Callithrix jacchus: one gene and its partners. The protein of the gene in region 1 interacts with the protein of each later gene in a pairwise test. Links are inferred from orthologs where the notes say so. Each region holds a gene or a part of one and is shown on either strand. Other genes may lie near its edges.

Evidence for each region. The genes of interacting proteins can lie anywhere in the genome.
Region 2: the proteins of CRYAB (region 1) and CRYBB2 interact in a two-hybrid assay, tested with the Homo sapiens proteins (2 studies listed by BioGRID and IntAct). The link is inferred for Callithrix jacchus from reciprocal best matches to the Homo sapiens genes CRYAB and CRYBB2.
Region 3: the proteins of CRYAB (region 1) and CRYGC interact in binary tests that used the Homo sapiens proteins (3 or more experiments, as listed by UniProt). The link is inferred for Callithrix jacchus from reciprocal best matches to the Homo sapiens genes CRYAB and CRYGC.
Region 4: the proteins of CRYAB (region 1) and LBH interact in a two-hybrid assay, tested with the Homo sapiens proteins (2 studies listed by BioGRID, with this or other methods). The link is inferred for Callithrix jacchus from reciprocal best matches to the Homo sapiens genes CRYAB and LBH.

Annotation. Positions count from the first base shown.
Region 1 is NC_133511.1:11,616,956-11,620,922, reverse strand, and holds the start of CRYAB (alpha-crystallin B chain), read left to right. Parts: upstream 1-1,163; 5' UTR 1,164-1,209; coding exon 1,210-1,410; intron 1,411-2,281; exon of another isoform or gene 2,282-2,415; coding exon of another isoform or gene 2,416-2,451; intron 2,452-2,525; coding exon 2,526-2,648; intron 2,649-3,967. Other genes in the region: HSPB2 (heat shock protein beta-2), read right to left, coding at 33-126; uncharacterized protein LOC118145697, read left to right, coding at 1,012-1,069. UniProt on the Homo sapiens protein: May contribute to the transparency and refractive index of the lens. Has chaperone-like activity, preventing aggregation of various proteins under a wide range of stress conditions.
Region 2 is NC_133502.1:196,163,291-196,167,325, reverse strand, and holds the start of CRYBB2 (beta-crystallin B2), read right to left. Parts: upstream 2,807-4,035; 5' UTR 2,779-2,806; intron 1,054-2,778; 5' UTR 1,028-1,053; coding exon 974-1,027; intron 1-973. UniProt on the Homo sapiens protein: Crystallins are the dominant structural components of the vertebrate eye lens.
Region 3 is NC_133507.1:129,616,132-129,619,725, forward strand, and holds CRYGC (gamma-crystallin C), read right to left. Parts: upstream 2,422-3,594; 5' UTR 2,364-2,421; coding exon 2,178-2,363; intron 2,081-2,177; coding exon 1,838-2,080; intron 847-1,837; coding exon 574-846; 3' UTR 507-573; downstream 1-506. UniProt on the Homo sapiens protein: Crystallins are the dominant structural components of the vertebrate eye lens.
Region 4 is NC_133515.1:83,282,419-83,286,517, reverse strand, and holds the start of LBH (protein LBH), read right to left. Parts: upstream 2,807-4,099; 5' UTR 2,599-2,806; coding exon 2,573-2,598; intron 1-2,572. UniProt on the Homo sapiens protein: Transcriptional activator which may act in mitogen-activated protein kinase signaling pathway.

The DNA.
Region 1 (3,967 bases):
TGGGAGGCAAGGGGGTGGCGTCTGTGCCATACCTTCTCCAAAGCGCTGCTCACCCAGGCGACTCGGGTTGGCAAATTCGTACTCGGCGGTGGCTGGGTGGGCATGTGGCACTGAGCGGCCCGACATGGCTGCAGAAGCAGCGGAAGCCCTGGTCCGAGGTGCAGCCCCAACAGACGCAGCGCGACCCCTCCAGCTGCCGGGAGAGCTAGGGCTCAATAGGAGGTGGGGGCGGGGTCGACACCACCCAAAATAGTGCCGTGCCTCTGCGGGGGAGGGGTGGGGAGTGGGGGCCCTCAGTGAGAGCAACAGGGTGTAACCAGTGCCGCCCGGACCCCTAGTCCCCTCCCCCGAACACTTCAGCTGTTGCAGGGGGTCTGAGAGGACAGCTGAAGGTCCTGGCTGGGAACAAGCTGGGGAGGGGGAGCTAGTGGTGTCTAGGACATGAAGAGGCCTTGCTGAGACCCTCACGAACGGTTTCCACGTTTCCACAGCACATTTCCTCCTCCTCAGTGGCAGGCACTGTGCACCCAATAAATTCCTAAAGCTCTCCTGGATTTAATTAATGTTCTGAGAGCCACATAGGATGAAAGATGCAAGAAGTCTTTTGCTCTTTCTTCAGGGGTGAGGTCTTTCTGCCCAGATGTCAGGGTCCTCCCCTGAACCCAGGTCAACCCAGGGCACGAGGCAGATGGCTGGTACTGACATGTTGACCATCACTGCTCTCTTCTAAGGACTCACAAAGAGTTAATGTCCCTGGGGCCCAGCCTAGGAAGATTCCAGTCCCTGCCCAGGCCCAAGATAGTTGCTGGCCTGATTCCCTTGGCATGCAGGACTGGAGAGGAGGAGGAGGGGCACACCCCCCTATGCCTGCTTGGGATTCCTGACTCTGTCCCAGCTTCAGAGAACAGGGGTGGGGGTGGGTGCCCATTGGGTGTGGACAGAAAGCTAGTGAAACAAGACCATGACAAGTCACTGGCCAGCTCAGACGTGTTTGTGTTTCTCTTTTCTTAGCTCAGTGAGTACTGGGTATGTGTCACACTGCCAAATCCCCGATCACAAGTCTCCATGAACCGGCAGTGAGCTAGGATAATAAAACCCCTGACATCACCATTCCAGAAGCTTCACAAGACCGCATATATAAGGGGCTGGCTGTAGCTGCAGCTGAAGGAGCTGACCAGCCAGCTGACCCCCAACACTCACCTAGCCACCATGGACATCGCCATCCACCACCCCTGGATCCGCCGCCCCTTCTTTCCTTTCCACTCCCCCAGCCGCCTCTTTGACCAGTTCTTCGGAGAGCACCTGTTGGAGTCTGATCTTTTCCCAACATCTACTTCCCTGAGCCCCTTCTACCTTCGGCCACCCTCTTTCCTGCGGGCACCAAGCTGGTTTGACACTGGACTCTCAGAGGTGAGTCTTCCCCTCCCAGGATGGGAGAGTCCTTACTGGAACATCCTGGAAACTTCTCCATCCATTTTTCTTTCCTTCCCTGCCTAAACAATTTTAGGCACATGTGTGTCCAAAAGTGAAGAAAAATGAGGTTGCTAGTGCCTTCCTCCCCTGTCAGCTATTTCTATTTGATGGTCCTCTGTATCCCATTTATTACATTTTTCTATGCACCGTCGAGTTCATCCTCTGTCCCCTAACTTCTCTCTGCAGGATACCCCTTTCTAGTTTGGTTCATAACGATCTGCAGGGAAAGAGCTGCCTTCGAACTCCTTTACTCATCTCTTCTAACACCTCAGACTCTTGACCAATTTTACCATCTCAGGTTTCAGAGCCAGGAGAGAGCCCTGCCTCATCCTGAGCTGTTCATCCCCACTGGGTGGAGCTGGGGCCAACCACCACTATTTTCTGCCTTTCTATTCCTTCTTCTAGGATTTTCTGGGTCCCTTAAGGCTGTGACAGAGCACTGGCCTGGGTCCAACCAAGCCTTATGAGGAAACAATATAGGTCTAGTCTTGGGATCCCCCACTTGTCCTGAGAGGGTGGGAGAAAAGGGTGAACAAATAAGGTTGACCGAAGCTGTTACAGATAACACTCTGGTTTAAAAATATTTGAGTGTGAGTAAACAGGACCTGAGTGGGCAAGGGCTTTGGAAGGACAAGCAGGACCAGCAGAACATTCCAGATTGGGTGGGTGGAAAACTGGCAAAGAGACCTGAGCAAGAAGAAGAAAGGCCTTTGTCTCACAGACAAACCACAAAGCCAGGCATTGGAGTCAGAGAGGCAGCAGATGCCAGGCCTGCACCCATCTTTGTGACTGGTCCCCTGGGTGATCTGTCTTCTTCTCTGTCCCTGGAAATAAAGTTTAGGTCTGATCACCACGAGCCTTAGGTATCACTATGGTGGCTCCCTGAAGCAGAGAGCCGTGTTTATTTAAAAAGGCGATTTTCTTTAAGCAGAAAAAAGAAGGATGAATTACCTGGACAGAAAGCAACTCTGCAGAATGGTAAGACAGCACCAGTATAATTAGTATTTTTGCCATCTTTTTCCAACCCCATTCTCTTACCTTGCTATTTTTAGATGCGCCTGGAGAAGGACAGGTTCTCTGTCAACCTGGATGTGAAGCACTTCTCCCCAGAGGAACTCAAAGTTAAGGTGCTGGGAGATGTGATTGAGGTGCATGGCAAACATGAAGAGCGCCAGGTATGTAGCTTGTTTTTGGTTTTTGTTTTCTGCTCATTCATTCAGTGCATACTGTAATAGTCTCAGTAGAGCTCTCAGCTTCGGAGGCTGGCTACATTCCAGTCCCAAGCCATAACGGTCTGGATCAGGGCTTACAAATCAATGTCTGGAAGACTAAGTTAGGGAGAGACCTACTGCTGTCATGACTGTTGTTATGGCCAGAGATGCGGCTTTTGTTTTATTTGATCACCTTAGATGGGATGCTGATGCCCCATCAAGGCCAGTGGTTCTGAATCTCGGCCACATTAGAATCACCAGGGGAACTTTCAAAAATCCTAATGCTCAGGCATACCCCAGACCAATTCAGTCAGAATTTTTAGGGATGGGACCCAGACATCAGCATTTTTTAAGGTGATTCTAATCTACAGTCAAGGTTGAGAACCACCGATTTAGGGTTAGGGTTGTAAGACACCTAGTTGCTTTGCATAATTACATTAACTACATGTACCCTGAAGGCTCTTGAGTTGTGACTTCTCTTTACTTGTGCAAGAATCCACGTTTCATCTTTAGTCCATCTTAATGCTGAACCACTTGGTTTGTCTAAATTTCAGTCTTCAGTCCCCCTGTAGCCTATGTGGAAATCAGTTAATGAGAGCCTGTTTGGTTACATGCTTGAGAGTCGGCAGGCATACGGGTAAAGGTCACCTACCCTTTGTGGGAATTCTGACGAATGGAACAGCTTCTCATGACTTTGTGAGAGGGCTTTAAAATTGTTTCTTACCAATTAATGATAGCTCAGAACCTGTGCATCAACTAGTACAGTTTGTCCTTAGTAACGTCCTCGAGCTGTTTCCATTTTGCTCATATGATTTAGGTTTGGGTTATAGTCTCCTTGGATGGAGTCATTTTTCTTCTTCTTCTTCTTTTTTTTTTTTTGCAGCAGTCCTATTGTTCTGGAACATTCTGGGACATTCCTGAAGAGTCAGGACAATTTCCGGGTTTCCTCAGGGACTCAGATTCTAAATGAGATTCCAAATTCTGTAGGCCCAGCCAACAGAATTTGATCTAAACCTTTGGGAAATACCCCTAAACATGTCTATGCCTCTGGGTTTGAAAAACAATGATGTATTGGGCTGTTTCAGACTTCTCAGATTCTCACTGGTAGGAATGACTCTACCTAGGCAACTTCATCTTAACTCCAAACCTGAAACAAAGAATTATTTATTCTTCCTATGTTGTCATGGCATCTGGTCTCACCTAAGGGGAAATCGGGATGCTTGAGTTCTGGGCAGGTGATAATATTTCCTGTTTTTATTTCTCTGCCTCTTTCCTCATTCTCT
Region 2 (4,035 bases), on another chromosome or scaffold:
TTGACCCAGGTGTCTGCTCAAAGTCACCTCCTCAGAGAGGCCCTCCTGGACCACCTGAGCTAACACAACCATTCCGACTCTCAGGAACTCCTTCCCCTGGTTTACATTTATTTGTAGCACTTCTCACTACTGGAAATCATATATTCATTTGTTTATTTTCTGTTCTTCTGTAAAGTAAGACCCATAAGGGACAGATTGGGGTGAGCAGGAGAGGAGCTGCATCCACTCAGGGTTCACTGGCCCAGGAGGCACCAAATCAGACAAAGGGGCCATTCCTGATGGAACCAGTGCCCAGGGCTACCAAAACGGCGAAGCACAGGAGGGCAGCCAGGTGGGCGCTCCTCGATAGAGGTTTGAGGGCAGACTGAGTGTGACAAGCCTCTGATGTTGGGATAAGATCCTGCCACCCTTGGGAGGGCAGGTGGATGAGAAATAAAAGAAGCCATTATTTGCTGGCGTTAGGTGAATGCACACCCCAGGCTGGGTGTTAAGCTGAGCCTGGTTTCTTTGCCTCTTACAACTTGCCTATGCAATAAATCTGACCCTCCCCACTTTACAGAGATGTAACTGAGGCTCAGAAAGATCAAATAATTGGCCAGGATCACACAGCAGGTGCAGAGCGAGGACTCACAGCCCATTTCTGTCTACAAATCCCATCTCTGACTGAGGATGAGGGTCTGCTCCAATTTCAGAGAGCCCTATTGTCAAAAGGGTGTGGGAAAGCAGGTAAGGGAGAGAAACTGAAGTCTCCAAAGCTGGAAGCTGGTGCTGGGAATCCCAGCATGCTGGCTATGGGCTGAGAAGGGACCTTCAGAATCAGCCCCAAGTGTGTGGGTAGGAGAGACTGAGTCCCAGAGAGGGGGCAGGGGTGGAGAGGAGGGACCCATGAAGAAAGATGCCAGGCCCCTTTTACAGAAGGGTGACTAAGCCTGGGAGAGGAGCATTGCACGCCCCTCCTCCGAGAGGTACCCACCTTGGGGTTGAGGGACTGTGGCTTGCCCGCCTGGGTCTGGTGGTCCGAGGCCATGGTGGACGGTCCTCTGCAGGAATGACCTGGAAGACACGGGAAGCAGCACTGAGGACCTGGAGGGGCCATTGGCTTTTTCACTCTGTAGGGCCTGGGGACTACTCCTCTCTGGCCCCAAACAGTCTTCTTTCCACCCTGGTTTCAGCCGGTTCAGAGCTGTGGGGTCCGAAAGCAGCTACTTGAACTTCTGTCCTTAGCTTCATTTATTTGTATCCAGGCCAGCTCCAGAAGGAGGGAAAAATGAGGTCTACGCAAAAAACGGGCTGTGATCAACTAGAGCTTAAATCAGGTCCCAAGGGGGTCCCCGTCACTCAACCCCAGACAACAGATACCACACAGAATATAGATCTGTCAATCCCATAACTTCTGCCTTTATGCAGAAATAATTTAAGAAAATGGTGTGAAACAAACAAAACCTATGCATTGCCTGTATTTGGTGTGGTGGTGGCTCCCAGTTTAGGAACTCGCAAAGTTTCCCGTGCTCCTGCTCCTTCCCCCACCTCTCCCTGGGACTCATCTCCCCATCCCAGTACCTGGATTTCTCTTCTCTGCCACTGGTTTTACTCCCCCACTAGTGAAATTGTCTCTACAGAACTAATGTTACAAGAAAGGGAAGAAGTGGGTGCGATGGTAGAAATCCAGGCACTGTGGCAGGCAGCCAGGTAGACCTGCTGTAGCTAGTGAGAACATCAGAAAAATCTGGAAAATTGTCAGCCTCTTCCCGCTTCCTGCTGGAGGGGTGGCCAACCTGTGTTTCCCCAGGGGTAAGAGAGGAAGCCCGGCCTCCCTCTTCAGAGATAATGCCCAGCTTCCAGAAGCCCCTTCCATGTCAAAGGCCAAGACTGGATGTGTCCCAGAAGGAGGAAATTCAGTTAAGTGACCTGGGAACCAAACCTACTGCTCTCCCACAAGAAACCAGCCCCCTGGGCTTATCAGAGGGCCTGAGGTCCCACCAGCCCACTTCCCAGTCCTGAGCGTCCGCAGGCTGAAGAAGCTCATTTGGTCCAGTTCAGGAGCTGTCTCTGCTGCCTACCAAACTTGAGACTCTGCGCAGGTCAATTCCCCTCCCGATGCCTCAACTTCCTGTTCTGTGACATGGGGCAGTCACGATGTCTAATAATACCTGTGAACAGGTTGTGAGGATGCGACTATGTAACGCATCAGACCGGAAGCACTTGGCCATGGTCCCAGACTCCGCATGCAGCAAATGACAGCAACTGTGGCATTATTACAGTCATTGCTACCTCGCTTCAGTGGCATTAAAATCACCTGCTGCTGGAGCGCTCACGTACCTGGGGCTATGTCCTATCCCCTAGTGCTCCCAGAGACTGGGCACGAGGGGGCGCCCCGTAATTGCAGATGTGGAGAACTGACTCACCCACCTAGAAACGATGCTGAACTGTCACTGATTTGATTCTTGCAAAACTCTCAGCTACATTCTCCTCCTCAGTGGCTGGCAAAACAAGGACACTGGTAGTCCGTTGAATATTAATAATAAAGAACGTTGCCCCAGTACCCACTATGTGCCGGGCACTGTGCCGGATGATTCACCTACCTTCTCTTGAATCCACACAACAAAGAAGGCTTTTTTAAAACCCCTCTCCCCATTTACCAGAAAATAAAACTGAGGCTGACAGCATCAAAGTCTCTGCCCAAATCACCCTGTCAGAAAGTGGCGGGTGTTCCCATGCTTTCTGACAGGGATTAGGATGAGAGAAAGAAGGGGAGACACGAAAGAGAGGCGATCTTACCAGCGACACCAGTCCCTGCGAGTGCCGTGAAGCTCGGCCGGTGGGAGGTGGCATTTATACCTTCCCCAGAAGTGTCAGTGCCAAGATGAGTGACTGCTGCATTCCTGCGAAAAGCAGGGTGAGAATGCCGGCTTAAGCTCCCACCGAAGCTTGGGTCAGCAAATGCTCACAGACATTGTGTCTCTGCACAATAATGTCATTAGCTTTCAGATTCGGCCGCGCCAGGGCAGTCAGGCGGCTAGGCAAGGAGATGCCCACTTTGTATGCATCAGCCATCCGGCTGCCAGGGCCGGGGCACGCCGGGTTCACTGGTATGGTCAGTCAGGCCCCGAGGCATGGCAGACAGAAGAGAATCTCAGTGGGCTTGAGGAAGAATAAGTAAAGAAGGGTGATTTGGCTGAGCCTGGGTTTCATTCATCTACCCATTTATTTATTCAATGAATATTTGCCGGGCATCCACTCGGCGCCAAGCAGAGTTCTAGGGAAGGTCTGGAAGAGGACCTACCCCAGCCTGCGCCATTCAGAAAAGCTACTGGGAGGTAGCACATCCCTCAGGGATGGAGAAGAGGAAGAAGCCTGGGAACAGGGTGGGAGGAAAGTTCCAAGCAGGAAGGGCCCACAGATAAGGAACCTGCATGGTGTATTTCAAGACCTGAAAACAGGTTAACATAGCTAAAGCATGGCATGTGACAAATAGGGCCTGTGCCAGGTGGCCAAGGCGGGCAGGGGCCTGATGTGGCAGGACCAGGGAGGGCCACTGTGGAGAGCACAGTTCATTCTCCAGGCCCCTGGCTGTTTCTTTTGTTCTTTTTTCTTTTCTTTCTTTTTTTGAGACAGAATCTCCTCTGTCGCCTAGGCTGGAGTGCAGTGGTGCAATCTCGGCTCACTGCAACCTCTGCTCCCAGGTTCAGGTGATTCTCCTGTCTCAGCTTCCCTAGTAGCTGGGACTACAGGTGTATGCCACCACATCCTGCTAAATGTTTATTTATTTATTTTGTATTTTAGTAAAGATGGGGTTTCGCCATGTTGCCCAGGGTAGTCTTGAACTCCTGAGCTCAGGCAATCCGCCTGCCTTGGCCTCCTAAAGTGCTAGGATTACAGGCGTGAGCCACCACACCCAGCCCATTTCTTAACCACTGTCCTAGAGTAAGAGGCTCCTACATCCCTACCGCTGGCCCCATCACTGCCACATGGGTGCCCAGCCTTTATTCACGCTTCTTAAGTGCACAAACCTTTGCAGCCCAGGTTGTGTCTTGA
Region 3 (3,594 bases), on another chromosome or scaffold:
TGCAGTCCTGGACAGGAGCCATTTTCAAACAAAGACGAATGGTCTTTAACTTTGTTCAAAGGTATGTCATTGGCCAGGGTGGCCCTGGCATTAGTTATAAAATACCGTGCCTGAGAGTAACAAAACGACAATCCTTTATATAGTCTAATCAGGCTATTGGCCAAGTTAAGTTTGCTCTCACCACTCATCTGACTTTACCCTTTGTCTGACCCACATTTTGGGTCACAAGGAAACTTCTGAACTCTTGTTCCTCAAGGTGCTTAGTTGAATGCCTCTCTTCTCGCCAGCCAGCCTCCGCCAGCTCTCTGGCATTGCCTTGCCTTTTGTTTCTCAGGCAGGTGACACCCTGCTTCCACCCCAAATTCCGAGCCTTGTTCAAACTCATTCTACCTTGAAGCTCTTCTCCAACAGACGCTGCTTTCATCTCCATTCACTACTTAACTTTTAACAAGGAGCATTTAAAGGTGAACTGATTTGCACAATGAAAGAAAGACAGAAGTCAGCAATTGCCAACAATGCAGACTAAATACTTTATTAGGTTCCAAAGTGGGAAATTGGGAGTGTCAAGCTATTTTAGTATAAATCCACCACTTTCCGCAAAGAGCCTGCCTTAGCATCCATGGCCCCCCAGTCCTGGCACCGCCTGTACTCTTGGGGCCTCAGCAGGAACTGCCGCCCCCGGTAGTTGGGCAGCTCGTAGAGGACCCAGCAGCCCTCCAGCACGTGGAGGGAACGGATCTCGCTGAGGTGGAAGCGGTCCTGGATGCTGGGGCAGTCCTCACTCAGCTCCATCATGAGGCCTTTGTGGTCTTCTCTCTCATACAGCCGCAGCCTGTGGGAGCCTGTCTACTCAGTCCACAGAAAGCAGGATGGAAAAAAGCAAATGAGTCTCTTTTAGAATTTGTTCAACCAAAGAACAGATGAACTTGGTATGTTGGGGCATGGAATTGTCCATGTAAAATTTAGACAATGTAAAACGTAGCAGATTGCTGTGATGCTGTGCGTGGATCTATCTTCTGCTAGCACTTAAATACTGGCCTGCTCATTTTCTATTTGACCTGCACTTTGGACCTGAAATTCATTCTTATTCAGGAGACGGAATTTTTAAGAGGTTCAAACTCTGAGTTGGAAACCATCAAGAACTCAAATATCTTGATTCCTAATTACCTGTGTTAATTCAAACTACATTTGGGGGAAAAATAGAAATAATTTATTTTGACTAGCATTCTTCTAGTAAGAATATTATCTCTCAAATTTATAAACATATAAATTTACCACTAAAGTAAAATTTTAAAAATCTTGTACTTTGGTGTAAAGTTAATTTAAATAGTCATTTGGAAAGAGAATTTAACTGATTTTCCAAATTAAGAAAAATTACCTTTTCCAAAGTGGGATACACCTTTGGCTAGCCTATATTAACAATACAGTTGTGAAGGTTTACTTACTAGTCCACAATGGAACCTATCTAATTCATTCATCAGAAATTCCTTTACAATAGGCAAAACAATTTGTTAAAAATACTGTCTTTGTATGCCCAATCAGCTTCCCGTTTGCAAGTTTTGTTTTATATCACATTATGGTATATTACATTTGTTACAGGCCATTTTTGATTGACTTATCGGTAGCAAAAATTTAAAGGAAAACAGATCCTTCCTCTAAGTGCGTTCTTCCTTATATTCTCTGCTGTTTTTGTGCGTGTTCTCTATCTGGCTTCTGCAGGTGTTCAATGTCCTTCCAGCCCTTAGGTGTTTTTAAATGCAAACCTCCCTCCGCCTAATCCACATTGACAATGCAGTGCGGACACTCCGGCAGCAGGATCGAAATCTAGAAAACTCACCTGGGGGATGAGACAACAGGAGCGGATGGAGTCGCTGAGGCCCATCCATTGCTGGTAGTCAGGATACTCCCCGCGCCGCAGCAAGTACTGGTGACCTTGGTAGTTGGGGCGCTCATAAAGCATCCAGCAGCCGCTCTCCACCCGGATGGAGTTGCAGCGGCTGAAATAGGTCTGCAGGTTGGGGCAGTCGGTAGTGCACTCGTAGCTGCGGCCCTGGAAGGCCCTGTCTTCGAAGAAGGTGATCTGCAAAGGAAGAATCATTCCGAGTTACATTATTTGCTCCTAACAGGTATTATATAAAGGCAGTTTTTTTCATTTTATTTAATTGTGTTCTGCTCACCTTCCCCATGGCTGGTGAAGACGGATGATGCAAGCTCAGTGCGATGGGGCCGCAAAGTTCAGTGTGATGGTGCCTGTGGCCGCGCAGCCAGCCTATATAGCAGGGTGGCTGCTGCGTTGGCAAGAATAACACAAAAGGGGCCCTCGGCAGTAAGGGGATTTTATGCATCCCTTTAACATGCTGCATTCACTGGAAATGACTGTAGATTGTGTCCTTGTTCTCTGGCATATTCTAAAGCTGTCCTGTACATTACTGCTCTGCGTTGCTTTTATTTGGATTCTTAGTGTTTTCTAAATTTATCTGTGCATCAGTCTGCACTTTCGGCGTGAAATTCGTGACTCTCCCTATGTGATTCAATTATTCTCTGTGAATTTTCTGGGAAAGATCTATGTCATTATAGAATCTCTCCAGGATTCCAGAGAGGTTGTTGAGGTAGAACGCCACAAGCACTGACTCATTTCGCTGGATGGCAGAGACTGCTCTATCTTACATTTTTGTCTTTACACAATTTTGCAGTCCAGTGCAGGACATAAATCTAGATTCTTATCTCGGCTAGTTTTGACTTTGTTAACTCAATGCTTTAAGACAGCTCTTAACTTTGCCTTTCATGGGTGCATGTCATGTAACTAGAAATCAGGCCTTGGTAGTGAATTTGTAATAACACGCAAGGGAAAGGTTTCTGTGGTCACTGCACCCAAGACTCAGAAGTACCGTATACTGCTTTATAGATCGCTTTCCCTTTTTCAAGCTTGCGGGAGGTCATAAAGCTTCACAGGCAAGAGTGTGAGCTTTGGACTCAGGCCGCCTGTACTCGGAAGGCCCACTGATTAGCTGCATGGTAAATAGCATAACCACTTGAGTTATCTCGTGGACTATAGTCTGATTAACGAGGAAAAAAAAAGTGAGAAAAAAGAGCAGCCTCTGACACTCGGATGCTGCCTTGCACTCACAGTGAGGACATGTTATTCCCCTATTAGACATAAACAGTCTCACAGCATAACAACTTCGGACAAGACTACTCCAAGACCATGATGAAATGAGATAAAGTAAAGCCACTTCCTAGCTTTGTCCAAGCCCAGACCAAAACAAAGTCAATGCTCCACTCTCAAAATCCCAAGCCCCACTCTCTCAGCCAAAATGACTAACTGCTACTTCTTTATGAATCACAGGTTTATCCGTGTTCTAGTCTCCCCTCCCTACGGGTAAGATTTCTTGAGATAAGTAATCACAGAATTAATCCTGCTTTCTGCTAACATCTGATCTAGAGTGAATTCCAGCTTTTTTAGCTCCTTTCCTAAATCACACAACTAAAGTGCAAATCCTATAACAATTTCTTCCTAAGCCCTCTTACTGAGACATTCCACGCTTCCCCAAGGAGCATGTTCTCCCTTGCTGTAACAAGTAATAAATCCAACTT
Region 4 (4,099 bases), on another chromosome or scaffold:
ATGCATTCGCTGCTGTGGGATCAGGGGACTGTCTGGAGACAGGATGAGAGGTGTTCAAAACAGAACTTGCAGAAAAACAAGCTCACACCCGGAGGAAGCGCCTTGCAAGCCCACAGCCCCAGGACTCAGCCCCAGCGGATAAAGCCCATTGTCTGCAGACCTCTGTCTGCAGACCTCTCTGGCAAACCTCCTCTTCCTCCCCTGTACTCTAGTCCCCACTGGGACAGAAGGACCCTGAATGTTCTTTTAAATGACAGAACTAGAGAAGCAAAAACAGTAGGTAGCTGAGTCCATCTGTCTATATTAAAACCAATTCAACCACATCTCCCTTCACCTCTCCAACCAAGAATAAAAATAATCCTCACATAAATTTTCCAAAGGGAAACTATATGTTATTATATAACATTTAATTACAACAACAGGGTCAACTGGAGGAAAACAAAGTCCAATCATATGGCCTTCCTAAATGTCTGTCTCTCTGGTGCTCTTTTTGGCAAAATGTTCCACTTAAAGCCCCAAGGGGTCAGCTTTTCTGCAAGTTTCACATCTGCCATCCAACCCCTTTCTCTAGCCCGAGCCATAGCAGCTGCTTGCTCACAGCTTGAAAAACATCCCCTGGATTAAAAGCCTTAAGGATACCCGACTCTGATTGCAAAGGAAATTTCCAGAGGGGCCAAGCTGGCCCACCAATGGCTGCCATGTGAAAGGGCTTTGTACTCTTTAAGCAGGATACAAATGTTCCATTATCCCTGCACAAGCCCTGGGCACATACGGGATCCCGTGCACATAACACTGAACGTTCGCAGCAAATCCAGGTACCCGCGACACAGCACCCAATGCTTTCACATTCGTGCCTGTGCACATGGTTTAAAACAAAAATGTGGGGAAGGCTTTTGAGGGACGCTATCTAAGGAAACAGGGGTACCAGATTCCTCTTTACTGTAAGGTTACTACATAGACAAGAAATGACGCTGGATTTAGAAACAGAAGCAATAGAGTCTAGGCTCTGCCCCTCAAGAGCTGTTTGATCTTGAACAAGTCCTGTAACTTCTCTGAGCCACAAGTGTCCTGTTTGTTACTCTGATGCTAATAGTGCATACCTCACAGTTAAGGACTAATGTCTCCACAAAAGCATTGCAAGCTACAAAGCGCTAATTGATGAAATCATCTTAACCTTAAATTTCTCATAATACGCCTAATATGCCCAAACACCCACCTTGGCACATTTTGAGCAGCCAAAGCCACAAAGCCTCCAACAGCCTTCAAATCCTCACCTGGAATAAGGCACCAAGCTGCTCGGACACTATGGCAGAGGCAAGGGAGGGGCGCCCACAAGAAGGGCACACAAGCGTCGGTGTGGGGGAACTTGAACTGCTGAGAGAGGGAAGTTTAGCCCCTCTCTAAACACTGCTAGGCTGGGATGGGGGCAGGGAGACTAAGAGAAGATGGGGCTCTTTGGTGCAAGTTTAGGTTCCGGAGCCGGGCCCTGCAAAGGCAGTTTCCGCCTGGGTCCTGGAAAGGCTGCTGTCGACCCCCAAAGAAAGGTGCCAGAAGACCGCTCATAGGGCGAAGAGCCTGACTTAGGGGCGCTCTATCCTCGCTCGGGGCTGTAGCGCTGGACCGAAAAGTTGAAGCGAGAAGCATGAACTTTCCGCTTCCTGGGCCAGGCCCGACCGCGCCGAGGTTTGAGCCCGCTTTCCCTTCGCTCAGCGCCTGCCAGCTACTCGGGGCCGAGCTCCCCACGTCCGCACCTGAGAGCGCGCTCCGGGGCCGCTAGCGCTCGCCCCCGGCCGCTTCTCTTCTAACCCAGGGCAGGAAGGAAGAAACCGCCGGCGAGGAAGTCCCAGCAGCCAGGGGCCTGCCTGCCTCTCTCCGCACCCTTCCCGGCTCCGATCCCCAGTCCGTGGCAAAACTCCGACGCCCCGAGCCCGGCCGGGGTTCTTTCCAGCTCAGCACCGCGAAGGCGGCTCCTCCCTGCCCCGGCCCCCACCAAGGTGCATCGGTTTTTAGGGGCTACGGAGAAGGCAGGGGTGGAGAGGCTGCAGCCTGTGCCCTGCTGCTTGCGGCTTTAGCGGGGTTACGTGTAGGGAGAGCGTTTCCCGCCCCCCAACCCCCGGAGCTCTGCAAACCCCGCGGCTGCAGCAGCTCAGCCCCGCTGCAGCCGGCCTCGACGCCGAGACTTGCATGCAAACAAAAAGAAAAAGAGGAGGGGCCGGGGAAGAGCAGGAGCCCCCCTGCGCCAGGAGGCGCGCGCCTCCTGCAGCCCTCCGCAGAGGGGGTTTCACTGAGGGGATTCACACGTGACCCCTGGCTCCCCCACCAACCAATACAAACCCTCCGGCCGTCACTTAGGTGAGGGCTCCGAGTTCACGTCCTTTGTCTGGATGTTCTCAGCACCCCCCTCCCCCCACCCCCACCTTTGCAACCTTGACGTTGACTCCTGCACTGGCTCTGGCGGCCGGTTAGCGCCAAGCGCCCGCGCCGCCGGCTGCCCTCGCACACGGAGCCGGCACAAAGCAGGCGCCCGGGCCCGCGGTCACCGCCACGAGACGGACGCCCGCAGCGTACTCACCAGTGAAAGGGGAAATATATAGACATGAAGTCCTAGGGGAGGCTGACCCACGCCCCTGTGATTTAAAAGCTGTCCCTGCGTCCCAAGCGAGGATGACACGGGAGCACACGGGCACGGCAGGTGGCCGAGTGCGGGCACCGGGTGTTCGCCGTCCGCCTTCCCAGGACAGTCCCACGGCCAGCGGTGTCGGCGAGGCGGACACAACTCCCAGCTCTCCACTGAGCTCTTGGCCCCACAAAGAGCCCGGGAAGCAGTATTTATAGGGGAGGGGGCGGAGCTTGGCCCCGAGAGGCCCCGCCCTCCGTCGCCCACTCCTGGAATAACGTCACCAAAATCATGAATGGCTTCAGCGCTCGCAGCTCCGGCGGGTGACGGCTCGGGGGCGCGCTCGGCTCTGCTCCCGGGGACTTGGTTCGCTGCGGCTGCGAGCCCGGCCCCCTTCCGCCACTCTCCCACGCGCACACGCGCTCACTAGCACCCTGCCGCGAGTCCGCGTCCGCGGGGGGGATGGACGCGGGGTGGGCGCGAGGAGGGCGCGGGGGCCGCTCCGGACGTGACCGCTCGGCGGCTGCGCTGCGCGGAGGGAGGGCGCCAGCCACTCCTCCACCCCAGCCGCCAGGCGCCAGCGCCCCCCTTCCCACCCACTGGCTCTCCCCAGCTCGCACCTCGGGACCCCTCTGAAGCGTTTGTCCCCCGGACTAGGCCCCTCCCTGGAATCCTCGCCCGCAGCCTCGGGATCAGCGTGGGGAAACAAGAGCATAAAGAAGCGATGGGAAGGTGGGAGAGACGCGGAGCCGGGGGACAGTCGTTCTAGGTAGGGTTTTTCCATTGGAGACACACACACATTCGCACGGTCTGCAGCTGGGCAGGGGGTGCGGGCGGGCAGCGTCCACGCCGCCCCCAGTCCTTAACTCCCACGTCTTCTCCGAGGAGTCGCTCATGAAAGCAGAAACAAAGAGCTTCAGCCGAACGCCTCCCACACTGCCCAGGAATTGCAGCTCCAGGGGTCTGTCCAGGCAAAGCTGCGCAGCCCCCCAGAGCCCGATGACGGGAGCGGACCCAGCGCTGCCCCTCTGTGGCCTCTGCTTCAATTACGCCTGTAAAATGGCTTTAGAACCCTGACCTACTTGTGTGTATAGAGGCTGGGGAAAGGGGGCGCGGGGCGATCAAAAACTAAGCAAAATTAAATCGGCTTTAAGTTAATCAGCTCTTTAAAAGAAAGGCAGTGAGTGTACTGAATCCGTATATATGTGCTTGAAAGTGGAAACGTATAGCTTATCTCATGCAAAAGAATGACAGAATTGATGGTGAGGGTTCAAGGGGTAGGACCCTGAAGGAAGCCAGGAGAGAAGACCCTCATAATTTTCATCAGCCCCCGCAAAACCAACAAAACAAAAATAGTAAGAATTGACAAGAATAATTTTATTTAGAAATAACTTGGCTATTTTCAATCACTTATATGTCTATATGTACAATCTGAGTAAAAATAGTGGGCTTCCTATGAAAATGCATCTTGATGACAAGCCC